4 linked regions of the Arabidopsis thaliana genome follow. The protein of the gene in region 4 interacts with the protein of the main gene of each other region in a pairwise test. Each region holds a gene or a part of one and is shown on either strand. Other genes may lie near its edges. The genes, in order: AT5G59210, AT1G20770, AT5G57910 and AT3G06530.

Evidence for each region.
Region 1: the proteins of AT3G06530 (region 4) and AT5G59210 interact in a two-hybrid assay, tested with the Arabidopsis thaliana proteins (one large-scale study listed by BioGRID).
Region 2: the proteins of AT3G06530 (region 4) and AT1G20770 interact in a two-hybrid assay, tested with the Arabidopsis thaliana proteins (one large-scale study listed by BioGRID).
Region 3: the proteins of AT3G06530 (region 4) and AT5G57910 interact in a two-hybrid assay, tested with the Arabidopsis thaliana proteins (one large-scale study listed by BioGRID).

Annotation. Positions count from the first base shown.
Region 1 is NC_003076.8:23,886,614-23,895,684, forward strand, and holds AT5G59210 (myosin heavy chain-like protein), read right to left. Parts: upstream 7,157-9,071; 5' UTR 7,007-7,156; coding exon 6,971-7,006; intron 6,874-6,970; coding exon 6,786-6,873; intron 6,699-6,785; coding exon 6,652-6,698; intron 6,387-6,651; coding exon 6,297-6,386; intron 6,215-6,296; coding exon 6,161-6,214; intron 5,985-6,160; coding exon 5,907-5,984; intron 5,819-5,906; coding exon 5,750-5,818; intron 5,655-5,749; coding exon 5,499-5,654; intron 5,418-5,498; coding exon 5,291-5,417; intron 5,093-5,290; coding exon 5,058-5,092; intron 4,960-5,057; coding exon 4,765-4,959; intron 4,691-4,764; coding exon 4,550-4,690; intron 4,460-4,549; coding exon 4,350-4,459; intron 4,268-4,349; coding exon 4,189-4,267; 3' UTR 3,933-4,188; downstream 1-3,932. Other genes in the region: AT5G59190 (subtilase family protein), read left to right, coding at 1-443, 540-634, 736-954, 1,027-1,138, 1,228-1,447, 1,531-2,060; OTP80 (Tetratricopeptide repeat (TPR)-like superfamily protein), read right to left, coding at 2,180-3,814; HAI1 (PP2C protein (Clade A protein phosphatases type 2C)), read right to left, coding at 8,059-8,414, 8,547-8,652, 9,022-9,071.
Region 2 is NC_003070.9:7,212,286-7,219,831, forward strand, and holds AT1G20770 (coiled-coil protein), read right to left. Parts: upstream 4,613-7,546; 5' UTR 4,364-4,612; coding exon 4,196-4,363; intron 3,918-4,195; coding exon 3,800-3,917; intron 3,678-3,799; coding exon 3,531-3,677; coding exon of another isoform or gene 3,448-3,530; coding exon 3,398-3,447; intron 3,308-3,397; coding exon 3,220-3,307; intron 3,137-3,219; coding exon 3,060-3,136; 3' UTR 2,730-3,059; downstream 1-2,729. Other genes in the region: AT1G20760 (Calcium-binding EF hand family protein), read left to right, coding at 209-280, 359-457, 745-816, 907-1,021, 1,134-1,202, 1,301-1,659, 1,910-2,488; SAUL1 (senescence-associated E3 ubiquitin ligase 1), read left to right, coding at 5,527-6,063, 6,160-6,469, 6,766-7,546.
Region 3 is NC_003076.8:23,448,227-23,455,860, forward strand, and holds AT5G57910 (ribosomal RNA small subunit methyltransferase G), read right to left. Parts: upstream 4,738-7,634; 5' UTR 4,238-4,737; coding exon 4,127-4,237; intron 4,028-4,126; exon of another isoform or gene 3,730-4,027; coding exon 3,659-3,729; intron 3,558-3,658; coding exon 3,323-3,557; intron 3,240-3,322; coding exon 3,033-3,239; 3' UTR 2,855-3,032; downstream 1-2,854. Other genes in the region: AT5G57890 (Glutamine amidotransferase type 1 family protein), read right to left, coding at 31-141, 224-261, 334-404, 1,060-1,214, 1,291-1,396; SKIP1 (SKP1 interacting partner 1), read right to left, coding at 1,690-2,263, 2,361-2,689; ENODL10 (early nodulin-like protein 10), read left to right, coding at 5,312-5,579, 5,654-6,030; APO2 (APO RNA-binding protein (DUF794)), read left to right, coding at 6,464-6,491, 6,594-6,712, 6,859-7,211, 7,297-7,634.
Region 4 is NC_003074.8:2,019,715-2,027,717, reverse strand, and holds the start of AT3G06530 (ARM repeat superfamily protein), read right to left. Parts: upstream 5,259-8,003; 5' UTR 5,123-5,258; coding exon 4,963-5,122; intron 4,875-4,962; coding exon 4,661-4,874; intron 4,579-4,660; coding exon 4,483-4,578; intron 4,392-4,482; coding exon 4,274-4,391; intron 4,184-4,273; coding exon 4,010-4,183; intron 3,917-4,009; coding exon 3,746-3,916; intron 3,575-3,745; coding exon 3,519-3,574; intron 3,428-3,518; coding exon 3,338-3,427; intron 3,250-3,337; coding exon 3,101-3,249; intron 2,998-3,100; coding exon 2,909-2,997; intron 2,829-2,908; coding exon 2,700-2,828; intron 2,615-2,699; coding exon 2,546-2,614; intron 2,447-2,545; coding exon 2,278-2,446; intron 2,181-2,277; coding exon 2,041-2,180; intron 1,956-2,040; coding exon 1,869-1,955; intron 1,754-1,868; coding exon 1,553-1,753; intron 1,407-1,552; coding exon 1,214-1,406; coding exon of another isoform or gene 1,197-1,213; intron 1,071-1,196; coding exon 973-1,070; intron 881-972; coding exon 737-880; and 6 more. Other genes in the region: AT3G06520 (agenet domain-containing protein), read right to left, coding at 5,763-6,725, 6,997-7,434. UniProt on the Arabidopsis thaliana protein: Involved in nucleolar processing of pre-18S ribosomal RNA. Involved in ribosome biosynthesis.

The sequences.
Region 1 (9,071 bases), on a different chromosome or scaffold from region 4:
GAGATGAGGAAGGCCATGGAACCCACACTGCGTCAACGGCTGCTGGTAATGCGGTTCAAGCTGCTAGCTTCTACGGTTTGGCTCAAGGTACTGCTCGTGGTGGAGTTCCCTCGGCGAGAATAGCCGCATATAAAGTCTGCTTCAACCGCTGCAACGATGTAGATATTCTGGCTGCGTTTGATGATGCCATTGCCGATGGTGTTGATGTTATCTCGATCTCAATCTCAGCCGATTACGTCTCCAATTTATTAAACGCTTCTGTAGCCATTGGTTCTTTTCACGCAATGATGAGAGGAATCATCACGGCAGGTTCAGCTGGGAACAATGGGCCTGATCAAGGTTCGGTGGCTAATGTATCGCCATGGATGATAACCGTTGCAGCCAGCGGTACGGACCGGCAGTTCATTGACAGAGTCGTTCTTGGTAACGGAAAAGCATTAACGGTACATTTTCTTATCTAGTGACAACGTCATTTCACATCCTAGTTCAGATTTAGTGACAAAGTTCAAGAGTCGTTGATACTCTGTTTCTTTATACAGGGTATATCAGTTAATACATTCAATCTCAATGGGACAAAGTTCCCGATCGTTTACGGCCAAAACGTGTCGAGAAATTGTTCCCAAGCCCAAGCCGGGTGAGTAAGAAGTCTCTTCTTCTTCTTAAATTATTCTACGTTCACATCTGAATCTTGAATCAAAACACATTGATGCCTCTAATAGTTATTATTATGGACAGTTATTGTTCAAGTGGGTGTGTGGATAGTGAGCTGGTGAAAGGGAAGATCGTTCTATGTGACGACTTCCTAGGATATAGAGAAGCTTACTTAGCTGGAGCCATTGGAGTCATTGTTCAAAACACATTGCTTCCAGACAGCGCATTTGTGGTTCCCTTTCCTGCCTCTTCTCTGGGATTTGAGGACTACAAATCTATCAAGTCATACATTGAATCTGCAGAGTATGTAAGCAGTAATGAATACGAACAGCTTTGTTTTTCGGTCTTGAGATGTTAAAAGAGTTAACTTTGCAGGCCTCCACAAGCAGAGATACTAAGAACCGAGGAGATAGTAGATAGAGAAGCTCCATATGTTCCATCTTTTTCTTCTCGCGGGCCAAGTTTCGTCATTCAGAACCTCTTGAAGGTAGTGCAACCGGAACAAAGATCATTAAGCTTGTGTTGGCTTTATATCCGAATCATTGTTTTTGGAATAACATCAATGTTAGTTTGCAGCCTGACGTAAGTGCACCTGGATTAGAGATTCTGGCTGCATTTTCTCCGGTAGCTTCTCCTTCAAGTTTTTTGAACCCTGAGGACAAGAGAAGTGTGAGGTATAGTGTAATGAGTGGCACATCAATGGCTTGTCCTCATGTGGCAGGTGTAGCGGCTTATGTCAAGTCTTTTCACCCCGACTGGTCTCCCTCGGCAATCAAATCCGCTATAATGACCACCGGTATAATTCAAAACAACAATACATTCTTCTGATTTTCTTACTTTTGGAATAATACAAAAACGTATTATTGTCATGGTATGTAGCTACCCCCATGAACCTTAAGAAGAACCCCGAGCAAGAATTTGCATATGGATCAGGCCAAATTAACCCGACCAAAGCAAGTGACCCCGGACTTGTATATGAAGTAGAAACAGAAGATTACCTCAAAATGTTATGTGCAGAGGGTTTTGATTCAACAACGCTCACAACAACCTCAGGACAGAACGTCACATGTTCGGAAAGAACAGAAGTCAAGGATCTGAATTACCCAACAATGACTACGTTTGTCTCTTCTCTTGATCCATTCAATGTCACGTTTAAAAGAACTGTCACTAATGTTGGATTCCCAAACTCTACGTACAAGGCAAGTGTTGTTCCTCTCCAACCGGAGCTTCAGATTAGCATAGAACCAGAAATACTGAGATTCGGTTTCCTGGAGGAGAAGAAATCTTTTGTTGTGACCATCTCTGGTAAAGAACTGAAGGATGGAAGTTTTGTAAGTTCGTCTGTGGTTTGGTCTGATGGGAGTCACAGTGTCAGAAGTCCAATCGTTGCTTACTCAATCCAGCCTTAAGAAAGGAGTTATGCTCATTTTCTTTTCTTGTATCATCAAAAACAGAGAGAAGAAGAGACAAAGTTTTGAGGGACTAAGACATACTTACTTGAGAACAAATCAACAAAGTGTATCTGACACTAGAAACCCATTATAATATCTATTTGATTCTCTTTGAATCTAAGAATTCGATTCAGTTCTTGTAATCTCTGATAAATTGCTTCTTTATGAGGGTGTGCTATATCTCCCACAAGAAACTCATGGATCTGATTGTCCACTTCGATAGTACTGCATCCTGGTTCCTTCTCAATCCCTGAATCTCTCATACTCTCTCTGATTTCTGTAGATTCTTTCCATTTCCCAGATGAAGCGTAAAGATTTGATAAGAGAACGTATGTCCCAGAATCTGGATTCTCAGATTCGAATAGTCTCTTAGCGATTTTTTCACCGAGTTCCATGTTTCCATGGATCTTACAAGCACTCAAAAGAGTTCCTAACATGATATGATCCGGCTCTATTGGAATATTTTCTATGAATCTGTAAGCCTCCTCTAGTCGCCCCACTCGACCAAGAAGATCGACAATACATCCATAATGCTCAATCTGAGGTTCAACATTAAAAACTCTCTTCATAGAATTAAATACTTCAAGCCCTATATCCAACAAACCTCCATGGCTACATGCGTTTAAAAGAGCAACTAAAGTCACCTGATTCGGCCTAAATCCTCTGTTCACCATATCCCGAAATTCATTGATAGCTTCAACGCTAGCCCCATGCATTGCTAATCCAGAAATCATCGTGTTATATGATATGACATCTTTGTCTCGCATTACCCTAAAAACCCGCCTTGCCTCATTGATATCACCACACCTGGAGTACATATTGATCAACGCATTACCTACGAAATTACTAAGCTCCATCCTTTGGTTCTCAACAAACGAATGTACCCACCGCCCGAGCTCCAACGCACCTAAATCCGAGCATGCGGATAAAACACAGACAGCTGTAAATTCATTAGCACTAACATTCTCCATCTGCATTTCCCTAAAAAGCTCCAACGCTTTGTTCATCTCCTTGTTTCTAACCAACCCATCAATCATCGCAGTCCAACAAACCGTATCTTTAATCTTAACATCTTGAAAAAGCTCTAACGCCTCCTTAATGAAACCGCATTCAGAATAACAATTAATCATGACCGTTGCTGCAACATGATCTCTGTCAGGCATTTCATCGAACATCTTCTTAGCATTCACCAATTCCCCAGATTTCCCGTAGATTTCCATCATTTTTAGCCCTACCGATCTACTAGACCCGAACCCTAGTTTCAAAACCTGGGCATGAATCTCTCTACATACCTTCAAATCACAAGCTTTCAAAACTGAGGTGATCACGTAGTTATCAGGCAAAACCGAATTGTGAATCATCCGATGATACAGCGAAACTCCATCAGCAGAACGACCAGATGACACAAAACCATCGATCATAGCAGTGTATAGATATACATTAGGGTTAGATACGTAACTAAACACGTCGTAGGCGTAGTCGACGGAATCGAGAGTGGAGCAAACACGGATAAGTTCGAAAACAACGAAAGCATCTTGGTCATGGAAGGTCCTAATGATCTTGGCGTGAATCGATGGAACATGGGCAATGTTCTTGCAGCTTCGTAATACAGAGATTAATGTTTTCCTGCGTGAAAGCCTGAGAGTGTTTGAATCGGGATCACGCCGGAAAGTTGAAGGCCCTCCGGTGATCGCTGCCAAGGAAGAAATCATTTCGCGCTCAATTGAAGATTCTAAACCGTTACAATTTTCGGTTATAATTAGCCCAATCCAAGTAAAATGGGCCTGTAACAAAAGGCCCAGTTCGTTGATGAAGATAAAAAAAAAAACCAAGGAAACCAATTTGAACATTGTCGAGATTTAGAAATTCGGTTTAGTCTCACTTCTATAACCAAACTCCAAACCTTCCAAAATCAAACTTGAGGAAAACGAACCGAAGCTTTCAATGAACAACAGTTACAACACAACGAACCAAATTGTTCAATAAAGAAAAAAGTGTTAGATTCACTTGTCCCCTTGGTTCTAAATAGATGTTTTGTTGTATAAAAATATATTCAATACTCAGAAGTGTGCCCTTGGTTCCTGATTCACTGTGCCACTGTAACCGATCCATCTTGCTTCAGCTTGATTAAGCTACTCTCTATGTTTCTAAGCACAGGTTTATAGCTGCAAGAAATCGTAATAGAAAACAATTAACAAGACAGGATAGAATCTCAATGGATTGAAGAAAGTTCCGTGAGAAACTTACATGCGCATAAGCCCATTGTATGCTTGTGTTGCTTGCTGGAGTTGAGCTGAGAGTTGGAGGACTTGAGCAGATAATGATTCCGCTCTGCTCTGTTCTTTCGCAAGTTCACCCTGAAAAAACAAAGGCAGAATTTAACACCACAAACACTATTTGTGTTGAATTTTCTATTCTAATACTTAAGAGTCGGTGAGGACCAAAACCTTGAGGGATAGAGTATCAGTTCCATGCGACCCATTTGCCTCAAATTCTGAAGGCCCTCGTGAAAAAGAACCAGCTTGTTCTGTTCTCAACTTGTCCAGAACTTCACGGAGTTCTACGTTTTGCTTCAGACATTCTTTCACCTATGCAGTTGGCTACAAGTCAACGTAAAGTCCAAGAAAATGTTTTTAAGCAAATGTAAATGTGACAAGCTTACTTGATTCTCCCACTGATTTGATATGTTGATTGATTCTTGATACGAAGCTGAGAGGTTCGAGTTTTCCTCAAATAGCTTCTCTATTTCAGATGATTGGTTGTCAATTTCCATGAGAAGTTTTTGCCTACTACTCTCTAATCTTTCAAGTGCAACAGCCATATCATGCAACTGCTTCTCGAGTTTTTCTTTATCTTCCTACATGAAAACCATCGAACCTAAAACTTAGGGATTCCATAAAACGTGAAAGCTTATATGCTGGCAAGTGGGAAAAATGGGTTATAACAATTTCTTACCACTGAAAATACTTTTTGACCAGACTCTGATACTTCTGCATAATAAATAACACAAAAAAAGTCATTGATATGTATCCAACAATGCACAACTCAGTAAAAAAAAATTCCGAATGACTCAAAAGCATTTAGACGTCAGTTAGTGCATCCAAACACCTGATGATCGTAACAGCTGCAAATACAGACTTGCTTTGAAAAGAAGAAAAAAAAAAAAAATGTGTGGCATCGCATATTACCTGAGGCCCTGCTGGATAAAACTGAAATTTTCTGTTCCAGTTCCTGCTTTTCAGACATTAAAGAAGCTACTCGAGTTTGTTCTTCAGCTAAACGATGTTGTTCTTGCTGCCTCAACACTGATTCTTTCTGTGTATGTTAAGAAAATTATTATCTTAGATACAGAGACTCTCACGAGGAACATATTATCTGTTTCAAAATCATACGAACCTGTAATTCTAGTTTTAGGTTAGCCATCTCCTTTTCTAATATTGGTAGTTGGTCTGGGGAAACTCCCATTGGCGACATGCCAGCAAATGAATTACCCATTGCTTGCTGTTGTATCGAATTAAGCTCTGCTCTAAGAGATGCTGCATCTTCCTCAGCCTATCAACAATGGGTTATGGTATCTTTTAAGAAAAGAAAAAAAAAAAAAGAAGAAAGAAAATTTTTAATTTGGAAGGCAAAAGATTGTTACATACTCGATATTGTTCCTCCTCTGCCTGATTAACACGTCTCTTAAGAGTCCTAACTTGAGCTGAGAGATCCTCCTATAAACAAAAGCTATGCCTATCAAAATGCAATAAAAAAGGAGATAATTTTTTGCACCAAAAGAACTAAAACAAGTGTATTCCCTACTCGTAAAACAACAGCAGCATCTTTCTCCATTGCAATTTCCTTGAGGGCTTTTCTCAGAGATGGCACTGTGTTTTGTTCCTGTCATTCATCGATAAGAGTATATGTCAAGACATCTTGAATCGTTTACCAAATGGACTGTCCAGAGATTCATATTGCATGTCAAGCCTCACAAACCAATTAGTACAAAAAACTAAACAAACTGCAGCCAACCAGGACTAAATAAGATCACAAATAAAAGTTTACTTGTTACTTACCAGCACATTCAACCGAGTCTCAAGTGATTCATTCTCAACTTCCTTCGTTTGAAGCTGAATCCCACAGACAAATACAGTTTAATCAACATACAACCTTGGATCTAATATCCAACAAGGCAAAGAGATAGACACAGACCTTTGAAGACAAAATTTTGTTGCGCTCCTCCATTTCTGCATTCTTCTTCTGCAGTTCTTTAAGCTGGGAATATAAAGCACCAACATCTGTCTGTACAAGTTATTCAAAACAAACCATTATTACCAGGAAGATCATAATATCAGTAAAACCAATACAAAACTCCCATTTATGTTCATTCATTTACTCAAGAAAAGTTGAATGAGCCTATCCTCAGGACAATATGCAAAATCAAATTTGTCCATAAATCCTAGAAGACATGATTCGATTAAGGCATTCTCATTATCAAGACCGTCGCAATTCTAAAGAATCCAATTAGATCACCAGGTACAATTTTTGATAAGCAGAGAAATGCTACCTCAGAAAGTCGATTTCCGCTCTCAGATTTTCTGATCACTGGGAAATCTGAAATAATGAAGTAGTCAATCAAAATTGCAAAGCTAGTGGAAAAGGAGATGGCAAAACATTGAAATTGGAGATGAATAAAATTACCGGCAGGATTGGGAATTTCACTAAGATCTGGACCTGAAGAAGCTTTGCTTAGCCTTTGAGCTGCTCTCTTTTGACGAATCTCTTCCAACTACAAGATCACAGAAATTAATAACAACAAAAAAGCACCGATGTAAGAAACTGTCTTCAGATGAAGATAAAGACGGCCATATCGGAAATATCCTTACAGTACGGCGACCTAGAGACGCGTGGTGCGATTCCATGGTATGATTCCTCTCCTCGGAATTTCGAACGTCGATTTAACGGTGAGGAAATCGCCGGCGACAAAAATGGAATATATCTATATTTGGGCTTATAGGAGTGTTAAATAGGCCCATGGACATATATAACTCTCTGACCTTGAAAGCGAGCCCAGTTTTTCAATTTCAAAAAGAAAAAAAAAATTGAATAAAAGTTGAAAACAGGATGATAAAAGAAAACCAGTTTCCGACAAAAAAAAAAAAAAAAAAAAAAAACCAGTTTATGCAATTGCAAAGACATTTAAAAGAAAAAAAAACGAGAATGTTCAAAAAAATCGTTAGGCGATAGCTAGGAGTTCGATTCTAAAAAAGTTACCAAAGTTTGGCGGTTGGAAACGGTTGGAAGTTATCAAAGCTTGAATCATCATTTTGATTTCTAAGTACTTTAAACAATGTTCAGTCTTAATGATCGACATCTTCTAATATGTCACATGATAAAGTGTGAACCATACCCGTTTGATGAAGAGTTATATAAACATGTTTTATAGATTATGTTGGCAAAAAAAAAAAAAAAACGTTTTACATAATAAGAAAAAAATGTTATAATATTGAATCCTCCCAATTAACCTTTGAAGTATTCTATACCGATTGTTTGCCTTGTTTAGTTACAAAATACACTTGAAAACAAATTCCTTAGTAAATATTTGGTTCTTTTCCTATTCTTAAAGATATCAGTCTAACATTTCTAATATTCCTATAAACATCGTCCTATATATAACAAAAAATAAATTTAAAAAGGTAAGATTTTGTTATGATCAACTGATTCTATTAAATTTAAAATTAAATTGAACTCAAGTCTTTCACATTTCACGGCTTTTTACCATTTTCACTACTGGTGAAAATCTTTGTAGATCTAAACCGCGATTCAACACAGTGACTGACATAACCCATAGTCAAGCTAAATTAAAAACCCTTCGTTGTCTTACACCGAAGAGCAAAAAAGGTTAAAAGAAAAAGCCCAAAAGTCGATGACTCAGGACAAAAAACAACAAACATTACGAGAGAGACAAATACAACTACGTGTCTCGTCGTAGATCAACCACCACAACACTTACGTTGTCCGAACTTTGTCTAGCCAACGCAAGCCTCGTCAGCAACAGCGACGCCTCCTCACACGCTTTATCTGGCAAATCTCCTCCTCCAACCACCACATTCCCGGCGCCGACACCTGTCATTTCCCTTTCCGGTGATGATGATACTTGACCATTGACTTTTCCTCTCAAACACATTCGAACGACGCTACATGCAGTTTCGTTTGAAACAACGTCCCAAAGACCGTCACTTGCGAGAATAAGAAAATCGTCTCCGTTGGCCCGGTCCGTCACGGTTACCTCCGGTCTGCTGATTACATACGGCTTCAAGTAATTATCTCCTGAAAAAAAAAAAAAAAATCCGCGGCGAAACGAGAGTTAATAATCATCATTATTGAAAGTACGGAAAAACTTTGTACAAACATTAGGATAGGGACAAGAGTGTTTTCGTCAAGTGTAATCAATTAACTGACCAATGGCTCGTGACATTGCAAGTACTCCAAGGACACGTGGGCCATCCCAGTAGATAACACGACCACCCGCTGCTTGAATCCGGTCTAGCTCGTCCGGACGGTCTGGCTGTTACAACAAATTTAAACAAGAGAGAGAGAGAGAATGATATAGTCATTGATAACAGTGACACGAAGGATTAAAGAATCTTAAAACTCATAAACTTTATCAGATCCTCTATCTAAAAAGTAAAAAGTCATTAAACATTCTTAATCGTCGTCCAGGTGTTGCATGCACATTAAAGAAGATTCTAATTTCCAATAAATGAAATAATAAATAAAAAATGCATTAAACAATATTAATAGGTAAGTTTCGAACGCAACACGTAACGAAATTCTCGTTTCATTACAGTGAGTAAACCATAACCGTAGATCTAACGGATAAACATTTAACGATGGATAAACGAAACAAGAGAGATTATCAAAAAACGAACAAAACCTTATGATCGGAGGATAAAGCAATGGCTTTGCCGTTACGACAGAGAACGG
Region 2 (7,546 bases), on a different chromosome or scaffold from region 4:
TAAGTTTGAGATTGTTGGTCTCCTGAAGTTCTGATCTTTTCCTATAGGAACGTATTTCCTGTTTGAGGCTTTGCTATTTAGATCTAGTTCTTCAGCTTGATCTATTATCTTATTTAGATTATATTTACAATCTGTGTGTCAGAGAGTAAGGTTCTTGTGCTGAGATCCAATTCTCACCATCCCACTTTTTCATTCATCTTTCTCTCAGGTCTTGTACAAAAGCAGGTGTGACAATAGATTAAATGAGATCTCCGAAAGGGCTTCTGCTGACAAGCGTGAGGTGCTTTTCACATAGAAAATCACTTTTCTCATTTCCTTAGAAGCAATTCTGTCTTATCCAGAACAATTTCTGCTGCAGGCTGAAACATTGGCAAAGAAGTATGAGGAGAAGTATAAGCAAGTTGCAGAAATAGGGTCAAAATTAACTATTGAAGAGGCCAGGTTCCGTGAGATTGAGGTATGACTAATTCAAGTGGCAACACCTATGTACACTCCAGCCGTATATTTTTTTTTCTCCAGTTCTTCTATGTGCATTTTCCCTTACTAGGCTTATCTAAACTTCATCATTGTTTTTTTCTTTTTCTTTTTCTCTGGATCATGTTGTGCGTCTTGTCCTCTCCTCTTATTCTATGGCCCAATGCTCCCTTCTTTCACCTTTGCTGGTGAAGGGGCTTTGAATAATTTTGTAACACATCTTACGGAAATTTGTTACTTATTGAACTTTTGCTTTGCTAACCCATCCAGGGGCGGAAGATGGAGTTGAGTCAAGCAATTGTGAACATGGAGCAAGGTGGTAGTGCTGATGGTCTCCTTCAGGTACATGCTATTCTATATGCTTACGAGATGCCTTAACTGTCGAGTATCTGCTGTACATGCCTGATTTGATGCTGTACTGGGCACATTTAGGTCCGGGCTGACAGAATACAATCAGATCTTGAGGAATTGATGAAGGCTTTAACTGAACGATGCAAGAAACACGGGTTGGAGGTTAACTCGAAGGCCCTTGTAGACCTTCCAGCTGGTATATGATTCCGTTGCCTTGTGACTTCTTGCTTTCGTTGTAGATGATTGCAAATAACATGTATTTTGTAAACAAACAACTTATGTGGAATTTGCTATGTTGTGACTTACAGGCTGGCAACCTGGAATTCAAGAAGGTGCAGCTCTTTGGGATGAGGAATGGGATAAGTTTGAAGATGAAGGTACAATGTTTTTTCCTATCTTTCTCTTACTAATACACTTAGATATATATAGTTAAGCACATAACAAGGACATTGACTGATAATGTTCCCACTGTTAGGTTTTGGCAATGAGATCACTTTTGACAAATCAAAAGAGCAAAACTCGTCTGGTGAGAAGGAAAATGGTACGGTGGATGATGGTAGTGGGCCACCTGATTCGCCGACCCATGTAGAGGACAACTATGGCCCTTTTTCAGAAACCTCAGACCGCCACCATGAGAGTGAATATGGGACAACTCACAGTGAAGATAGAAGTCCTAGAGACAGTCCTGTCTCTAGGAATGCTACTGAGGTCCCATCTCCAGATTATTCTCAGGGAAAGAATTCTGAATTCTTTGATGACTCGAATTGGGCAAGTGCATTTGACACTAACGATGATGTGGATTCAGTCTGGGGATTTGATGCATCAAAAAGCCAGGTTAGTAAAGAAACATAGTGTCTCTCGCTTTAACACATCAATCCATCTATCAAAATACTAAATCAAATCTTTCAGTTGTGACGAATAGACATTGAACTGATCTTTTAATTTCTACAAGATTTTGAAAATCCGTATTAAGTTCATGCTTTTCAGATTTGCGATGTTACATTTACCTTCTGTATGCTGAATCATTTAGTTATCTATTCAGAGTCTTAACCAAGCTTAGCATTTTCAATATCAACATTGGCAGGATGGAGATTACTTTGGATCAGGTGACGATTTTGGTGGAAACACAGCAAGAGCAGATTCTCCAAGTTCAAGAAGCTTTGGCGCCCAGAGAAAGAGCCAATTTGCATTTGATGATTCAGTCCCCAGCACTCCACTCTCAAGATTCGGGAACTCTCCACCTCGGTTCAGCGATGCATCAGCTAGAGATAATAACTTTGATAGCTTCTCCAGGTTCGACTCCTTCAACACCAGTGAAGCAGGCGCCGGGTTTTCTTCGCAGCCCGAGAGACTGTCTCGGTTTGATTCCATCAACAGCTCCAAAGACTTTGGTGGAGCTGCCTTCTCTAGGTTCGATTCAATTAACAGTTCCAGAGACGTCACTGGAGCTGAGAAATTTTCGAGGTTTGATTCCATCAACAGTAGCAAAGACTTTGGTGGTCCCTCGCTATCAAGATTCGACTCTATGAATAGTACAAAGGATTTCAGTGGTAGCCATGGATACTCGTTTGATGATGCAGACCCGTTTGGTTCCACAGGTCCCTTTAAAGTCTCTTCGGATGAAAGCCCTACGAAAAGGTCAGATAACTGGAACTCCTTCTAGCCTCGGTTACTATCGTTCCCTTTTATAATCCTTTTTCCTCGCTTGATGAACTTGTGCTTGTTTCATAATTATAATTTTTTCACCAAATTCTGGTTTTGGATGAGACACTAGCGTTAGTCTATTTGTAATTTGTAAAGTTTGTCTCTGTATTGGTTTCCTACTGTATCTCTGTTATGTTATGAATTCATTTGCTTTATATGAAAGAAATATTTGAGGATTTCGTCGTGGATAAGAGATTAAAGGACAATGAAATGATTTTATTTTTCTCCATTTTTACTGTTTCTCTTCTCCAAAATGTTTTATTATTTTGATATATCCTTAGCTCGAGGTCTTGTAAGAACTTCTGGTAACATTTAACCAAATCAAAACAGATACACTTGAAGGTGGTAGCTACAAAATTGAAAATCGAGCTAATGCATTGGTACATTCTAACCCTCTGACTCGAAGAAGATATGATTTTCGCAGCATCAAACTGCTATGATCAATGTAACATCAGTCTTTGAGGTTGGCTCCATTCTGTTTCCGTTGAATCCACTGAGCACATTTCAGGATCAGTTGTTACCAAGGAACTTCACTTCTCTGTGATCCGCTCAAAGGCAGATATCATCGATGCACGCATGTTGGCTATTTCCACCAGAGTTTCAAGAGCTGTCCAAAGACGAGAGAAAAAAGAGTTTCAGTTGTAAACTGGAATCTTCCTTTGAGTATACTTGTGGTGATGAGGATGTTACCTGTTTCAAATGATTGTTGAGCGCCACGCAGCTTAGGAGAGACTAGACCTCCAAATACTGACAGAGATTTTGCCCGTTCTTTCTTTATCTGGAGCTCAACACATTCGAATTAGTAAAACCATCGTCCTACATTTTGAAAACAAGTAGAGTTTCTGCAGACGGTTAAATGATTGCTCACCTCTTCATCAGCTGCTAAAACGGTTTCATCCTTGGCTGATGGTTTCTCTTCTATCGAATTACATAAAGCAAGAGATGATGAAACACCGACAAACAAAGGGCAGAGAATAACCAACAGATGAGTCTTTTTTTACCAGAAACTCCTCGATGTCGTAGCTGTGGGCTGAGAGGTGAGCCTATCTCCGAATCTGTATCAGTAGAGAAGTCTTTGCCTTTCCTGCTACCGCCCTTGGAAGCCCACTTGGACAAAGCAAAATGAGGTACTGATCCCAAAGATTCAACTACAAGAGTCCATAGACATACACTGTATATAAGTTGCTTCCCCGCAAAAAAAACATAAATTCATAGCATATAAACGTAAACCATTGAACTATCAAACGCCCAAAGCATAAGCCAAACTTACCATCTTGGTCAGTCACTTGCAATGTTGAAGAAGCGGGATGATACTTAAGATCTAAGAGAGTGCTGTTGATGCGTAAAGTTCCCATAGAATGTCGAGCACTAGCTAGATCAAACCATCCCTGCAAAAATAACACATTTCAGTTCCATACCAAATAAGTTAATTAAGGCAGCAGACTCTCACTCTCATCATATCAGTGATATGAATCCACAAAAAAGTTTCTCCTCATGGCTACTATAGCTAGATAATCAACGAAAACGTTTCCCACGCAATCCTTTTTAATCCCAGATTCAATTCAATTCAACACAGAATATCTCAAGTCATCTATACATCAGAACATAAGAATCATTCCCATAAGATCCCATTTTAGCTCAATACACCAAATATCATTCCAATTACCTCTCGAAGCTTAGAATTCACAGAATCCATAAGCGTTAAATATCCATCCAACGAATCTAGAAACTGCAAAACATTCTCATCTCCTCCCCCTTTTCCCAGCTCAGTTTTCACTTCTGATTCTTTATTCACATCCACTGATTCATCTCCTTCCTCGTAAATCTCCGCCATCGAAATTTAGCTCCAACACACGCGAATCAACAAATCGAAGCTTACACGAGGAAGACAACGTAAAGCGATCGAAACAGAGACAGATCAATTTCTCGAGTAAACGAGGCTATTTTCGTAATATTTCAATTAGTAAAGGCCCAATAGCCCAAGTAGAAGACAACGTAAAGCGATCGAAACAAAGACGGATCAAACGAGGCTATTTTCGTAATATCCAATTAATAAAGGCCCATTAATACCAATAGCCCAAGTCGAAAGATTACCTCTTTCGGGTCAAACCGGTTATGTTTATGGGTGGGTGGGTAGAGCAAGTCGAGTGTGTGTGAACACAGCGCCAGGCTGTTTGTCTCAGTTTGTCAAGTTGGCGTTTGGTGGCTCCACGTCTCTCTCTATCTCTCTCTCTCACATGACTTTTCGATTTTAGTCAACCTTTCGTGCTTTTCTCTTAAAAATTCGATTTTTTCTTCAACCCATCTTCTTCTCTGTTATTTCCTCTCGCTTTTACCTGTCTCTCTCGTTCTCGCACGGGGATAGAATCAACTCTGCTCGAGATTTTAGTAGGAGGCAAGCTCGATTGCTTGCAATTAGATCCATGGATGAAGAAGAACTCACACTTTCTCGCGCGTTTTTAGCTCAAGGAGATTTTTGAAGAAGTGGTCGTTTTCGAATTGTCAACTTCAGAAGAAGAATCAACTTTGGTTTTTTCTTTTCCCTTCTCTGTATAGCTTTGAGGAGGCGCTTCTTCAACTGGAACAGGCTGGTGTGCTTTTTTTTTTATCTCTTTTGGTATTTTTGAAATGCTTCATGAGACGTTGTTTCTCTTCTTTATCTTTTTGACGAATATTGCTAAATTTGGTAATCTTGCTATATAAGGGTTCATGGGAGTGATGATTTTGGGACACTGTTACTTTTCGTATTTTAGGTTATAGTTATGATTGAAAGTTTGAATTTTGTTTCCTTGGCTGTGAAAGAATCCGGGAACCAAACTGTGGTACTATCCCTTTTTGTGTTTCCAAAACTTTCTCATTCATTTACTATCAAATTTCGACACTTTCTTACCAGACTCTCTTGCATTGATGTATCCAAGTGGGTTTTCATCTAGGATCCTATGTTTCATAACAATGAGGTATTTGCTTGTACATTTGCAGTGAGTTTGAAGGATTAAGATGGTTGGAAGCTCGGATGGTGACCAGTCAGATGATAGCTCTCATTTTGAGCGAGGAGTAGATCATATCTATGAAGCATTCATCTGCCCATTGACAAAGGAGGTTATGCATGATCCTGTCACTTTAGAGAATGGTCGAACATTCGAGCGTGAAGCCATTGAGAAATGGTTCAAGGAGTGTCGGGACAGTGGGAGACCTCCTTCTTGCCCTTTGACATCTCAGGAGCTGACTAGCACTGATGTAAGCGCCAGCATAGCTCTGCGTAACACTATCGAAGAGTGGAGATCCAGGAATGATGCTGCCAAGCTTGACATTGCTCGTCAGTCACTGTTTTTAGGGAATGCTGAGACAGATATTTTGCAAGCTTTGATGCATGTGCGACAGATTTGCAGGACCATCCGATCAAATAGGCATGGTGTACGCAACTCTCAGCTTATCCATATGATCATCGACATGTTAAAAAGTACTAGCCATAGAGTGCGGTATAAGGCTCTACAAACTCTGCAAGTTGTCGTTGAAGGAGATGATGAGAGCAAGGTTGAATCTGATTTCTTTTCATCTCTGCTGAATATTTAGTGTAGCATTTTAATGGGAAATTGAGCGGGTGCTAATTAAATTTTCAGCATCTTGCAGGCGATAGTAGCTGAAGGGGACACTGTGCGTACACTAGTTAAGTTCTTATCACATGAGCCATCAAAGGGGAGGGAGGCAGCTGTTTCCTTGCTGTTTGAGCTCTCTAAATCAGAAGCTTTGTGCGAGAAGATTGGTTCCATTCATGGAGCACTAATATTATTGGTTGGTCTGACAAGCAGCAACTCAGAAAATGTTTCAATTGTTGAGAAAGCTGATAGAACCTTGGAAAATATGGAGAGGTCAGAGGAAATTGTTAGGCAGATGGCTTCATATGGTAGACTCCAGCCTCTTCTAGGCAAACTCCTTGAAGGTGAAAGAATTTCTTTTCTTTGTTTGGTTTTAATATAACAATTACGCTCTCTACTTCATTTGCATAAAACAAGTTATCATCTTCCTTCAGTTGGTAAAATTCTTCCTTCAGTTGTTCGGATGCATCACAGTGTTATGGTATTCTGCCTTAGAATTTGTTTGCTCTAGGAATTTTACATGTTCGCTTGTAAGAAGAGTCAATTTTCTTCTACCCAGATGGTCAAATCTTTCATTATTTTCCTCTGTTATATGGCAAATTTCTTGTATGAATAATGACACCACATGTGAAATCTGCAGGTTCACCTGAAACAAAACTCTCTATGGCTTCCTTTCTCGGGGAGCTTCCCTTAAATAACGATGTGAAGGTTCTTGTGGCTCAGACTGTGGGTTCTTCTCTTGTCGATCTTATGAGAAGTGGTGACATGCCCCAACGGGAAGCTGCCTTGAAAGCTCTTAACAAAATCTCATCGTTCGAAGGGAGTGCTAAGGTCTTGATCAGCAAAGGAATTCTCCCCCCACTTATCAAAGATCTGTTTTATGTGGGGCCAAACAACCTTCCAATTCGGTTGAAAGAAGTCTCTGCCACTATTCTTGCTAACATAGTGAACATCGGGTATGACTTTGACAAAGCCACTCTTGTTTCAGAGAACAGAGTGGAGAATCTGCTCCATCTAATTAGCAACACAGGTCCAGCGATCCAGTGCAAGCTGTTGGAGGTTCTTGTTGGACTCACCAGTTGCCCAAAAACAGTTCCAAAAGTTGTTTATGCAATTAAAACCTCCGGTGCAATCATCAGTTTGGTTCAGTTTATAGAGGTCCGAGAGAATGATGATTTGCGGTTGGCTTCCATAAAGCTTCTTCATAACCTTTCCCCATTCATGAGTGAAGAACTAGCTAAGGCCTTATGTGGCACTGCTGGACAACTCGGAAGCCTTGTTGCTATCATTTCAGAAAAGACACCAATCACTGAAGAACAGGCTGCTGCTGCTGGGCTCTTAGCTGAATTGCCAGATAGGGATTTGGGTCTTACTCAGGAAATGTTAGAAGTTGGTGCTTTTGAAAAAATCATATCCAAAGT
Region 3 (7,634 bases), on a different chromosome or scaffold from region 4:
AAAACCATGTCTTCTTTATATGCAACTAACCTCCAAATGCTTCTCCTATACACTGCAAACCCATACATACTCCAAATAAAGGAACAAGTGGTCCGAGTTCCAAAACAGTTTGCAAGGAAATCCCAGAGTCTTGAGGGGTACCTATCAAATTCAAGAGAAGTGTTAAATTCTTCTCGAGCACTTCAAAAAGACACACCACATAATCAGAGGCCAAACTATTTACCAGGTCCAGGAGAAATCAACAATCCTCTTGGCTTTTTTCTGCATAATAAAGGAATCAACACCAATCGATTAGCCATATTACGTTTTACACAGAATGTATTTTCCTCTTACCTTTTCAGCTCCTCAACTGTAAGTTCATCATTGCGGTAAACTTCAAAATGGCACCCTAGCTCTCCCATATACTGTAGAAAATATATACAATTCAAAATTTTGTTTATACTGAAGCAGAAGAAACCACATCAAGAGAAATTAATAGTATGCACCTCATAGGCTTACATAGAGAACTAGAAGTAAGACATGATCAAATTGTAAATTTGGGATCTATGTGGGATATTCAGAGCAGCCAAAATTTCATGATAAAGTGATATATTTCAACTACGAATAACCAATCTAAAGTCAAACATAGCAACTCACAAAATCACCAATTCAAACTTTGAACGCGAATAAAGATTCTACTTAAAAGACCAGTCTTTAGGCAGAAAAGAAGTAATGTATTAGGTTTTGCTGGATCTAACAATTACTCGTTACAAGGGCAAACAAGCAACGAGGAGCTTTTCCAAATAAAACAAAAACACAATTCTCCAGAGAAGTAGAGTATTTCGACATAACGACTCTGATCACATTAACAAGAGAGAATCTACACTAGGTAGTCTAATATCTATTAGCATGTAGAAACTAGATTGGATTGTGAAACAATGAGATTCTAACAATCAATCACAATGCACATACCTGAATACATTTCTAATAAAAATGCAAATGCAGCTGCTTTTACACCAAAAAAGATTCAAAAACATTCACAGAGGTAGTGATGATAGGAGATTGTGTTCGAAATGAAACCTGGCAGAGATTGTAAGTGAAGCTGTCGTAATTATCAATCACGATGATAGGACCAGAGGAATTGACAACAACGGAAGATATCGAATTCGATTCCGCCATTTCAATCGAAGCTTTCGCAATAACATCTCTACGACTCTTCCACAAAACCGAAACTCCTATCACAGAGGAAACAAAAAACACAGATAAAAATCGAAACTTTTGATTCGAATAACGCTTCCAGAGAAGACTTACTTGTTGGGTTCGTAAGAGAGTTAACGAGAGACTGGTTTAGGCGGCGAGTGGTGAAGCCATACTTCGGTTGAAGAAGACAGGAATTGTACAATGTAGTAGCCGCCATTGTTTTGGCTCGAAGTTGTCGTTTGGAGAACTGAGAAACTGAAGAACTCGTAACGTTGTCGTTTTAGCATAGAAAATTCCAAAAACTTAAAAATAAATGGGCCACTCGGTTAATATTTGTTTAGACCCGTTAGTAATCGGGTTTAAATGGGTACCCGTTCAAACATTACAAATAGCCCGTTTAGACCCGTGGGCCTAAGGTCCATTTTAACAACACGACATATAACAAACAACCGACCCAAGTCAGAACTATGGGCAGCTTTATTATAAAACATGGCAGTGTGTGTGTAGAAATCAGATTCTCATGGCTTGTATGTCAAATCTCTCGTCATAGAGTCTCCAATGTCCATACCTCTCCGTCTGCGCCACATCCCCTGACCTTGGCACATACACATCTGGCTTCTTTACCTCCTTAAGCCATTTAAGCCTTGACACGTTGCTTGTAATGTCACGGCTTGACAAATGCACACACCCAAACAAGTCCAAGTACTCTAGCTTGGGACAACCCTCACATATCGAAGCAAGACCCTTGACAGATAATCTAGAGAACTGAATCTCCAAATGCTCTAGATTGATCATATGTTTCCCAATCGCGTCAGCTTCTGTGTCTCCGTCTTGAGGACAAGCGTCTAAGTATTCTGTAGGAACAGAGCCAATGTGCCGAGAAGACCAATCCATAAGATTACGTTTCAAGATCCTCAGATTAGGACAGTTTCTACCAATCATCACAAGAGTGTCGTGAGATATCTCGTGACAGTAACTGATATCAAGTTCCTTTAAACTCCTGCACCGAAACGCTATCTTCGTCATCGATGCGTCTGTCACGTTAGGACTGCTTCTAATGGCAAGAACCTGTAGATTCGGGCATCTATTGATATGTCCAAAATCAGACTCGTAGCCATAGAAAATTCCAAAATAGAGGATATCACAAACTCAATCACGATCTTGATAAGAAAGATATTTACCTATCGGCTGCGTAAGAGAGAGCGTGGTCGCTGCAATGGCGGACGCGGATCTTAGTGAGACCACCTTCGCTCCAATCAACGACTGATCGTAGCATTAAGTCTACCTTCTGCTCGAACTCAGGGGACCACAAGTGAGTCGACTCGGGATAGGAATCGAACCATGGCTCCAGATCGAAGATAGACCAGAGATACGGATCTCTGCAAACAGTTAGCCACGATTTTTGGACGAACATCGGACCGGTCCATAGCTCCTGAATCGTAAGCCTTGAAATGATGTTGATGAGTATCTCTGGAGCCAATCCGCCCCAATCAGACCCGTCTTCTTCCATAAAGATTCTTGTTTTGTTTTCAAAGATCGGTTCTTTGTGTTCGGTAATAATGTAGTTTAAAGTTACACGAAACGTGTCTCTTTAGACACGTGTCAATGCATCTGACCGTTAATTTTGTTCCTTGACTTTTGGATCACTTCCATAAATGTCGTTTGCTGACACATGTTTCGGTATAGAAATGTCACGTTTGCAATAAGCCACCATTGGATAAGGTTTTTAAGTTTTCAAGTCACAATTGGATATGTTGTTCAATCAAGATAAGTAAATAAGCAAGCTAACTTTGATGTGAAGCTATGTTACAACAAGATCTATGAGGAGGAACAAAAGGTTCCGTCTTCTTATTTTAGACTCTGAGAGCTGCGACAGGATCTTGCCATGAAATTTTCCTCTTATTTGATCCGTTTCCGCCATTCCTGCAAGAAGATGGCTTCACATCTTTCTGCTGCATCTCAATGCTACTGATCATTAATCTCTTACATGAATTACTTTCTTCAACTCTCGTGTTCTCTTGATTATTGTCCACTGCCTCTGTTTCTTGCTCTTCTTCTCCCTATATAAATCAATTTATGAGTAAAGACATGTTTGGTTTCTAAGTCTCTTCACAATCTGATTAAGAGTGAAAAATGTGCTTACAGATATCTGATTTAGATCAAACAAAGGAACTCTTCTCTTAGGACTGGTTTTGGTTTCATCGTGAGCCTTTTCCGAGTGGTTTAAGTCAGGAAGCGAAACATGCTTAGTTTCCGCCTCACTTTTGTTACTAGGAGACACTTCCACTCGGATCTTCTTCCCACCATTTGATCTTCTGACCTTTTTAATCTCTTGTGGCTGGTCTTGTCTCAAATGTCTGTATCTCCGTCGCAGAAATCTGTTAAAGAGGTTATAAACGAACGATATATTAACAAGTGAGGAAAACATCAAAGGAAAGGACTAATGATATATTTTGTCAAGGATTGAAACTGTCTTTACCTGACTTCAGCCATTAGTGTTGCCTTTCTTTCTCGCACTGCCTGTAACCTTTTTCTCATAGCTTCGGTTTCCTAGTGTATATAATCAACCAACACACGTTAACAAAAGCTCATAACCAAATGATCTCAAAGATCAGAGTATCGAGCTGATAATATGTACACAACAAGGTTTTAAATCCTAAAACTATGTTTAAGAGTTAAGACTAATAGAGATTTGCATAACTAACTACACATAGAAATCTTAATAAGTAATTAACTTTGTTAAGGAAGCAGAAGCAATTAAACTTAAAAGTTTCTTCTTTCTATTATTTTAAAGAAGAAAGTTGTTCCTTTTTCCGGGTTTTCCGAGTAGCTCTGAGCCCAGATCAATCTTTGAGCAAATAAAATTACATTCTCAGATCCAGAGACAACTAAAACCAGACCCAGAAACTGAAACTTGATCTAAAACTCAAGAAAAGAGAGTTCGTACCATATGCAATTCTCCATAGTCTTGCATAAGGCTATGATGCCTAAACCTGACCTTTGGATCCTCGAAATGATTAGAGTTCAAGGGAGTGAAATCTCCGTGAGTTGGATTCATCAGATGAGTAAATTACAGAATCACACAAGGAGAGAAAGAGAGAGATGAAGAGCAAAAGATGAAAACAGAGGAAAGAGAGAAATGAGAAAGAGGAAGGTTCTGGGTTTCGTGTAGAAGTCTAATATCAATGTGAGGAGAAGTCAGAGAAGGACAAAGAAGCAGAAAAGAAGGACACATCATGTTGTTGCTGTTGTTGTTGTTGTTGTTGTTGTTGTTGTGAGAAGGAAAGAAAAGAAAAAAGAAAACAAAAATTAAAATAAAAGGCAAAATTTGCTTTTTTGGATGTGAGTGTGTTGGGTTGAGACAGCAGTGATGAAGATGGAAGCAGACTTATGCAGGAAATGGGTAATGACTTGTGGCACTAAGTAAATTGTGTAATGGGTCAAAGAAAACACATAAAAGCAACTTCCTTTTTTAATAACATTTTATCAACTAGACAACTTTTTTTATATTAATGGGTTAGTTTGGTTAGAGAAATCTTGAAGAAACCAAACCTTTCTGTTTTGTTTCTTGTGTTCCATTGTCGTCTGTAAATATTAAGTTTATCTTCATTCAACTGGGTCCATTGTATAGAGACCGATGAGAATGGAGGTTGAAATATATTTTTCAGACTTTTTAATATAATCCCTCAAGAAAAGTCAGATGGTGGAAGAGAAAAAAAAAGATTCGCCTTTTAGTTATTACTTAAAAAAATACGGATTTTGCAGAAAACTCTGTCTTGATTTCTGGAAACTGGTGCAAGGTTTTAGTTTTCTTCTATATAAAAAAAAAATCTTCTTATTACGTCAATTGTTAAAAGATTGCCATCTCTTCACATGCATTCCATTTACTCTGTTACCCCAAAAAAAAATAAAGTTTAAGGCAATGACTTTTTGCGTTCACATCGATGATTCTAGTGTGTTTAATGCATCAGTTAGTCAGTGACCATCAGCTGATGCAATGGTGAAAAAGGGTTTGGTCACAATTAACACACAGCTCTGTAGTAACTGTAACGGTTAGCTTCTTCATTTTCACGAGCTTTGTTTCTATGGTAGTCACGTTTTAATTCATGGGAAGGATTTGTTTGGATTCAAGATGCCACTGACCTATCTTCTCTTATTTATTCTTGCAAATTCTCATCATATGATTAATCATCACAGAAACATAATTAAACTTTTTTGTATAACCAGAATGTCTTCAGTAATGATGTGTTGTTGTTTGCTTCTCTTGTTTGGTTTGTTGTCTGAAGGTAGAGAGATTCTGGTGGGAGGCAAATCTAACACATGGAAGGCTCCAGAATCTAGAGATGAAACACTAAACCAATGGTCAGGCAGAACAAGATTCAAAATTGGAGATTCTCTCTGTAAGTAATAAGATTTGACTTTGGTACATGGCTCTGTTTTGTTTCTCATAAAAGTTCATTTTGTCTTTCAACAGTGTGGAAATACAATGCGGAGAATGATTCAGTGTTGCAAGTGAGACAAACAGATTACGAGAGATGTGACAGATCAGAGCCAATAAGAGGATACAAAGATGGTCACACGAATATAGAGCTGAAGAGGTCAGGTCCTTTTTACTTCATAAGTGGAGAAGAAGGACATTGCCAAAGAGGAGAGAAGCTTCGTGTTGTTGTCTTGTCTCCAAATCACAACAGAAGCGTTGTTGATGCTCCTGCTCCTGTAAACATTGTCTTGTCTCCAAATTACAACAGAAGCGTTGCTGCTGCTCCTTTAAACGCTCATATCATGAACAAGGGAAGCCTGAACACAGCATGGAGTTTGCTTCTTCTTCTTCCATTAGGCCTTTTGGTTTAGTCTTGTGAATTACCTCTAGCCAATTCGGTTCGATTTCGGTTTGTATTTTCCGGTTTACTTGTTACTTTGGCTTGTGATTTAGTCTTGTTTCTTAGCCAATTCGGTTCGATTTCGGTTTGTAAGTTTACTTGTTTCTTTGCATTACTCTGTCTGAGTGTTTAATACAATGTTAGTTTTGGTTAATATCCTAAATTCAAATTGGAAAGAAAACATTAAAGGCCGGATCGGTTATACAACTGTGGAATTTGGAAACAAATGTTATTATAAGTGGGCCTAATGGGAACTTCTGCCCATTAAAGGCCCATTATTTGAACTTATTAGCTTTAAGCTTGTCCACGATTTACATTAGCTATCTTCTTCGTCTCCGGGACTGAGACCGCTCTCTCTTCCTTATCCTCCATCTTCCAATGGTTTAATCCAGCAACTGTCGACGATGTCGATAACGTACTCCGCTATTTCCTGTAAGTTTCTTCCTCACTGTGTGTCGAATCCGTCCTCAATGCTCAATTTTATCCATTTATTGTGAGACTGTGATTGATTTTGGTTTCCGTTGTTTTATCCAGCTAGTACAGTTTCTGGGTTTTCACCAAAAAGTGTACCTTTTGCTATTCATAGCGTAACCAGGAGGCAATTTCTTAATCCCAACACGTTTTATAGATTTGGGTTCTCTCCTTCTCTTCAGGTCAGATTCCTTTACTAGTCAGTATCATCCAATTCTCCAGACTCTGCTTCGTTGTTGTTTTGGTTCTTAGAATTAGACCACACTTCGTTGCTTCCCTTTGAAGTAGAGAGTCAATGTTTACTGTTATGTGCGGATATGTTGTGCAGGGAAGTAGCATTGAGTTTAGCCTTCAGTTGAATTCAAGAGTTGTGCTTAGTAAAGAGCGTCGATCTCTGCCATTAGTTGTGAGAAATGATCGTCCTCAGAATGAAGACTTACCTAAGCAGTACACAAGGCGAGAGAAGAAACCTTTCCCAGTCCCTATTGTGGACCTGAGACGAGCTGCGAGGGAGAGAGTCAAGAACAACAAAGACAAACCTAAGAGACCTCTACCTCCGCCTAAAAATGGTATGGTTGTGAAGAGCCTTGTGCCTCTTGCTTATAAAGTATACAATGCAAGAATCAGATTGATCAACAATCTCCACCGGCTTATGAAAGTTGTTCGTGTTAATGCTTGTGGGTAAAAATTCTCTTCTTCTTCTTGTTTCATTTTTGGTCTGTTTTGAGTATGGCCTTTTTTTGATGTTGTATGATTGGTCTCTTAGGTGGTGCAATGAGATTCATGTTGGACCTTATGGGCATCCATTTAAGTCGTGTAAAGGTCCCAATACTTCCCAAAGGAAAGGTCTTCATGAATGGACTAACTCGGTTATTGAGGACGTTATTGTTCCTCTTGAAGCCTATCACCTTTTTGACCGCCTTGGCAAGCGTATCCGTCATGATGAAAGATTCTCGATTCCCCGAGTTCCTGCTGTAGTTGAGCTCTGCATTCAGGGCGGCGTTGAAATACCCGAATTTCCAGCAAAAAGGAGAAGAAAACCGATTATCCGCATTGGCAAAAGCGAGTTTGTTGATGCAGATGAAACTGAATTGCCTGATCCAG
Region 4 (8,003 bases):
CGAAGGTTGAAGAGTGCCTCGATACAATTAATGGCAGCTGCTTTAACGTCCTACAGAGTGAATGTAACGAGATCAAAACGAATACCGAAGAAAAGGAAGATAATGCAAAAAGTTTAACCATAAAAAGAAAGAAAATTTCAAATGTCACCTGATTATCACTTGACATGGGAACCAAAAGTACAGGAAAGCTTGAAAAAACTTGAATCAACCATTCATTATTCCCGCTAGAGCAAAGATACGAAAAACATCTGAGACTTTCAATTTGGACAAGAGGAGGAACATCTGCAAGAAGAAGACTGCAGCATAAGAAAACAGGATACGAAATAAACAGAAACAGTTACCAGATAATAGATTCCACGAGCCTTAACAGCATAAAACAGACGAGAGAATTATCAACTAATAAAAAGTGGGATCAGTAGTTTATAACATCAATTATAAACTAGCAGGAAATATAAATTTCCATGCAAACCTTCTCGTGAGATCAGTCGGGATAGAAACAAAACAGGACAGACTTTGGCTTCTCTCACACGGAAATGAAGGTGTTCCTTGAAGACATGCCGCAACCGAGTTGTTGCAAAAAAGAAAAACAAATCCTCAAGTCCGCTAGATAACCTTTTGTTCAAAACCTAAACAAAGGTGAAGTGACACAAATACAGTTGTGAGCATTGCAATTGGTTGGGTAGAAAAAATTTCAATATAACCAAATATAACGAGATCATGGTTGAGCATCACCCACCGAAGCATCGTGGGCAGGTTCAAGTTTAATGAATGACTCGCCCAACTTCCAAAACAAGCATATCAGAACCTTCGAATTCAGAGCAGTAAAATCAGAGGTATCAAGGAGTTGATATAGGAGTTCTTGGCAGTTGCTTTTCGACAGCTGCAAGTAATACACAAATATATCAACTAACAAGATAATATATGTATCAACCATCAGATGAAAATATTACATCAGCTGGTAGAATTCTATACCTCTTTCAGAGAAACATCAACCTCGACCTCAAGTTCTTCCCACTCAGTCTTCAAAACAGGAAAGCAAAGTTCGAAAAGATCCAAAAGTTGACTAGGGTCTAAATCAAAGGAAAACACAGCCATCAGCATCATATCGTGGTTAAAATCATGTAAGACCAAGTTTTCTACGGTGCTTAGAAATGAAAAAAAAGACTTTAACATCAGCATGTATGTTAACGCAGTACTATGGACAGAAGCTTACCAGATGAAGAATTCATCTTCTGCAGGGAATGCATCAAAATCATATAAAACAGTGTCTTTGACAAGGTGGAATCTCGGCAACTGACAGTAAGCCACTGAATATAATCAGCAGGGTGCATCATAAATGCTTCCACCAGCTTGTTAATGACATCTATGTTCAATGCGGACACACTTTCACGGATCAGTAGTCCCTTCTGATATGAAATAACCATTTATAAAATCTCAGAAACAACGAATAATAGTATACCAAGTATGTGAAGACAAGAAATAGGTTAAAATATTGAAATAGCAATGCGGACTTGGAAGTTTTTTTTACGAAAACAGTATAGTAATGACAAACCTGCAACTTGTTACGATCCTGTTCTGAACATTTGATATTGCTGCATGTTTCCAAAACTTCAGAGAGCTTATAGTTGCACGCTCTCTCAATAAGCTCAATCCTACGCTCATCAGGATCCAAGGAGAGTGCTTCTCCCAAATCGTTAATAATATCCATGCTAATTGAGGATAAGTTTGTAGACATGATATCGGGGAGCTTTTTCTGCAACAATTTTTCTTTTTCAGATGACATGATAATAATATTCAACAACCATTAAAAGATTTGTGATTGCGACTTGGAGTATTGAAGGATAGTAAAATCGTAAACTCATATTTACCATTCCATCATCAGCAGCAAGATTCTTGAAAAGTGGCCAGTTAACATCCTTTCCCAACTTTAGCACAAGTAGATTTAAATTCCACGTCTATTAAAAGACATGATTACAGCAATTAGTAGAAGTAACAAGACTTTCGCCATAGCTGTAGAAAATGAAGAGAACAAGAAAGAACCTTCGGCTGAATTAAGAGAAATGGGAACATTGCAGAGGTAACTTTCTCAGTAGAGTCTGTTTGATTACCGAAGCTTGAGACAGCAATTTTAAGAGACAAAGCAACAACATCAACTGCCAGTTGAACATTATGTGATACTCCTGCAACAAGAATGGATAGTGCGAGGTAAACTAACTGAACATATGAAAATTCCACACTTGAAACAAGTTAAGAAAAGAACAGAGCATCTTTATTCACCTGATACGAGAATGCCAACACATCGTTTCACCACATGAAGCAAAGCATCCAGAAGACCAGAAGAGGTTATTATATTGGGCAACTTATCGAAAGAGAGGGCAGCCTGAACAACAGCCAGATCATCATCCCAAAGCTGACGCAGTATAGCATCCTGAATTGTGACAAGGTTCTGGATGGAGAGGGTAAAAAAGATATTGAAGAACAGTAAGATGACATGAAGTCAAAGTAAAGAAACAAAAAATACTTGGAATGAGTACCCCACACATACCTCTGCTTTAGAGCTATCATCCTTGAGAACACCATTTAGACTAGAAAGCGCGGCACAACGTACAGCAGCCTATTATTTATAAGAAGCCCTCAGTCTTGCGCAAAAAGTAAATAAAAAATTTTATTCACATAACTAAGATTAGAGGTTATAGTACCCTGGGATGGTGGAGCCGGAACCACAATTTTGAATCCACAAACGGGTGAGACATGTCTGAATTCCCATCCAGCATACAAGACAACATCTCTAGCTTTAAATCCTCTTTCTTCGACTGAACTTCAGTAGCCTGCAACAAGAAGTCGATGACTCAGAAGACCATATAACAAACACAAAGGAAAATAACTAAATGAGAGTTGGAGCACAGACCTCTAAAAATTTAGGAACTGCGGCACGTAGTTCAGCAGGATACTTCTTGCTTACAACAACCAGAAATTTCTTGGCCCAGCTTCCTACAACTAAATTGCAACAATATTGGTTATATAAAGAGGAATCTGAAAAAGAATCTTCAAAAATGAACACCCAAAACTCAATGACATAAGTAGTTGACATATCACTAACCAGATGTAGAAGATCTAAAATCACTGTTCTTCTGGTATTGTGTCATACATAAAGAGAAAACCTTGGAGATCAAATGATCAACCAAATTGCTTACGGGAACAGTCTCAATTATTGAAGCTAAAACTTCGCAGCATTTATCATCAGACGAACTGCAACAAGATGACAGTAAATCACACATGAATACTAACAAAATAAATCCATCCGCTTGAAAATGACAAAACAGTGTTTGATATACACCTGTAAAAAAGTAAAGAATCCAGTAGCACTGCCAGGAATCTTTTGATGTTGAACTCTTTGGACAAGCCTAAAAGAACACCAGAAATATCTCTGCACAAAATTGAAGCCATCGTTGAAAAAATACTAGTAATAGTTACAATTAAAAAAAGCTTCAGAAGGAAGACTGTTCATATTCAGATACCTTATTTCGTTAAAAAGATCCAATGCTTTCCTTGGGATCAAGTCCACAGATTGCAGCTGTAGTTGATTCAGAAAATTAATTGTTTAAAACAATCAACACCAACCACTTGTGAGCAGAATCCTCAGTGAGGAATAGAAAATATGTCCACCTCATACTTAGAAGTTTATACATTCGTGATATCGAAAATTAAAATGTAAGAAGTTCATGATGACAGAAAGTTATTGCACCTGAACAAAATTGATCAAGGCCATAAGTGACAATCGAAGCGAATGCGGGTCAGAAGATTCCTTGGCATGTTCACGACCAATGTCGATGATGGACCTCATCAAGCGCTTGATAAGATTAGTATTTAGCACAGCTCTGTTTGCCAACATGCCAACAACCATTAACGCTCCAGCCTAGAACCATATAAAGTTTGTCATAAAAGGCACATCAACTGAATAACAAAATCAATTAGAGAAAAATATTTGGTAAGAAAACCACTAAAAAACCTGTTGATCTAAACATCCTTTCACACCAGATTGAAGACCAGAGTCCACAAATGGCAAAATCGTCTTTACAATATCTCCATCAACAGTTGGAACTGAACCGAGCACCCCAACAACAACTGCGGTGGAGAAGCTAACCACAGGTTTTGAAGGCTGATACTTCTTAGTACGAGATGCCTACAATGTAACCAAGATTTCAGATGTTCAGTTTGATGTAGCCATTCAAAAACCAGTTTATAGGGAAAAAAAATATTAACAGCTACTTACATAGTCACACAAGGCCTCCAAAACTTGTTTATCACGTATACATTGCTGAACGATAACCGATCTAGGAGGTGGAGCACCTGAATTTTTAACACCATCCAGAAATTTCCACTTGGAATTTCTGTAAAGCAAATGAGAACCAGGGTTTACTAATCGATATGATAAATTGTGAGACTTCACTTCGAAATCGAAAGTGAAAGATATATACTCACCCAGTAGAAAGCAGTTGAACAATGCGGACAAAGGCATGTGTGTCATGGTATGGCAAGGCGCATAGAACCACATCTTCCAAGTTGTATATATGAATCCTGAAATATAGAGCAATTAGGACAATTCGATGAACGAACAAAGGCAAATATACATAACCAATAGTGATAAGGAAACACATACTTGTATCGTCGTATGAGATACTCAAGGGTCTCCAAGGAAGCACGAAATTGAAGATAACCAGAGAGTAAACGTAGATACGAACTGATTGATGAATCAATCCGAGCATTTTCTTCTTTACCCAGCAATTCCCTATCAATTTCTTTACTTTTATGACTAAACAAGTCGTTCATGTAATTTTTAAACCTCTCATCTTTGTTTCCAAGTACTTCTAGACCTGAATTAACAAAAATAATTAACGATGAGAATTTAATTTATCATTGAGCTTGTTCATTAGAATTGCATAATAGGAGAAGAGAACATACCTTTGAGCCCGAGCTCGTAAATTGATTCGATATCGAAATCAGCTGCTTCTTTAGGACTGAAGAGAATCGAAGGGCGTGTGAAAGGTCTCTTGGAAGGCTCTGTATCGGCTTGTAACACTGACTTGAGAGCCTGTAACTGTGACACTATTGAAGAACTCATACTCGCTATTGGGATAAGATTATTCTTCAGAGGAAATTCGAAGAATAAGTTTGAGGTAGAGAGAGATAGAGAGATAGAGAGCGGCGTTGAGGGAGAAGAAGAGAAAGAAGAAGAAGAAGCGGGTTTAGGGTTTAACGATCCTTTTATTTTTAATCTGGAAGATATAGTAATATAAAGAAACAAGGAAACCCCTGAGTTATAATGGAATTGCGTTTTAAACCATGACCTATTTTTTTGTTTTTCGAATTTAAACCCCAATAGTTTTACAACTTGATAATAAAGCCCATCTCTAATCTGCCGCTACTATTACAAAACTGTGCGTTTTAATTCCTCAATCGAGAAAGTCTTGAAACAAGTGTAAGAAAGTCAAGATACAATCACTGTTCACATCACATTTGCCAAGATTAACAAACCCATCTATCCAAGAATTTCAGTAAAATGGAAGTGAGAACAGAGAACAAAAAAGAAACTTAACACCTGACCTCTTTCATTAGAAGTTAAATATTATATTATACGCAGACAATTAACGACATCATCAACTTCAAACATATGTTCATAAACAAAAAATGTACTATAAACAAGTCATTTTCCTTATCCTCTTCATTAATAGTTGTAACCGTTAGCCAACTTCTTCTCATCCTTATACACGACTCCATTTTCCGTTTCTCCACACTTGGCAAGGCCTAAGGTCATTGTAAGCAAACTCCAAACTCTCATCAGTCGTTTGGAAGTAGACACCATATCTCGTTTTGTTGTTGTTTATCTTATATACTCGACCAGACCACCATCCTTCATTGTACCAAGCATCCACAAGTTCATACAATTCATATCGATACCCCTTTGGAATCAGTGGAGGAGGAGGAGGTCTTATATCTGAACCTCTTGCTTCTTCCTTCAACAACTCTCTTTCATCGTCTGTTTTTAGTGTTTGATACTCCACTGTGTATCTGTTTTCGCCCAAGTAACTTACGATCTTTGCAGAGAACCATGAGGCTTCGTAACCTGGTTCGTCGCTTCTAACTTCCACCTCCATTCCATTGTTAAACACCTTCTCTGCTCTCTCACAAGATTTCAGCTTCTTCAATGGAGGTTTGTAACATTCTTCCGGCACATCAGTCAATACCTTGGAAGGAATGACCCATTGTCCATTGATCCAATCTTTGTGGGGCCTTAAGTTGAAATTTAAGATTGTCGTTTCTTCACCAGTTGAGATGATAAAAACTGAATACTTATTAGAACCTCCTCCTAGGACTTTGGAAACCCTACTGGTCCACCACCGTTTGTTGAACCAAGCATCAACTATAACCCCTGGTTCATAGCACACAACAGGCGAGAGTTCTGAAGGAGGAACTGGTCTTATGTCCTTGGCTTCTACCACATCTCTCAGAGGGATCGACTCACCATCATCTCTACTAAATTTCAAGTGTTCAACAATGTACTTATCATCACCTAATAAACAAAGTATACGAGCACAATACCAAGAACCCTTGTAAGCTTTTTCTTCACTTCTGACTTCGACAAGAGCTCCCTTCTCATATTGATCTCTTCTCTTGATTTTTATCTTCAGTTTAATTCTTTGGGCTGTCGATTCCGAGAAATTGCTCTGTAAATCAAAAAAGCAGTGTGAGTTTATTATGCCAAATTCCAACAAATCTTCAAATTCAAATTGCTTGACATACAGTATATATAGTATAATTAAGTCTTTTTTCTAAATTTACAATTTTTTTTTTTTTTTTTTTTTTTTTTTTTTTTTGGTTTTACTAAATTTACAATTAATTCGTCAAATCTTTCAATGTATCTTAATCCCTAAAACATTAAATTCACTATTTTTCTACAAACCCTAGATTCAATTCAAACGCAGAGAAATGTTTTACCTGTTGGAGAAGAGAAGGAACCCACCCACCATCTAGCCATTCACGATGAAGCCTCAAATTGAACTGATCAACCTCTATTTCTGGACGATTTTCCCCTTTAAACTCCACAATGTACCTTGAATCTTCAAGTACGGTCGTAACATTGCCTCTAACCCAGCAACCTTCGCTATCTCTGAAGACATCGACCTCATCGTCAGCTTTGAACCGTCTGTTGAGTTCACGCGGTGGAGATGGACGGAGGCGCGTGGGAGTGACGTACTCCTTCATACGTACGGAAACGGAACCTCCAACAGTTAGGGATTCATGCTCCACCCAAACGAGTTTCTTTCTCACCGAAGGCGCGCTAACAACACTCGCCGGAAAATATGCCGTCGCGCCAGAAACTAGTCGTTCCACCTCAACGCGGTCACCGCCGCGCCAAAATCGATCGCTCGTCATCAGTAAACAATTTGTGCAACCCAACGAGAAAATAGGGATAGGAGTAAGACTGAAGATGATGAAATTTCCAGAGACCTTGATTCAACAGAAGAAAATCAGAGAAGAGTGAGAGCTATTATATATAGAGAAAGAGACAGTGGCGACACAAGCATGCTTATATTATGAGTCGGTCAAGATAGGTCAATGCCGAAAAAAGGAAAACACCAAAACAGCACCTCGTTTCTAATTTATGTAATACAACGTCCTGTTGTTTTTCTTTATCCTTCAGATCACAACGCGAGGTGTTTTTTGTGTTTTGTTCACGTGTCAAAATAAGAGCCGTTGATCTGGGACTACCGTGGATCTCAAGTCTAGTAAATCACTCATGGACATTAAAATGGGCCTAGCCTACCTCATCCTAAAATTTTGCTCCAGAGAAGTCGTGTAGTTTTTCCACCTTTCCTTTTTATACAAATAGCTGAATGCTTGCCGTTTCCAAGTTCCAACCAGGGTAAGGTATCAAGCTGAACAAAAACCGGACATTGGGTCGGTTAAACTTACTATTAATTGGTCCAACCAAATGTCGTTGG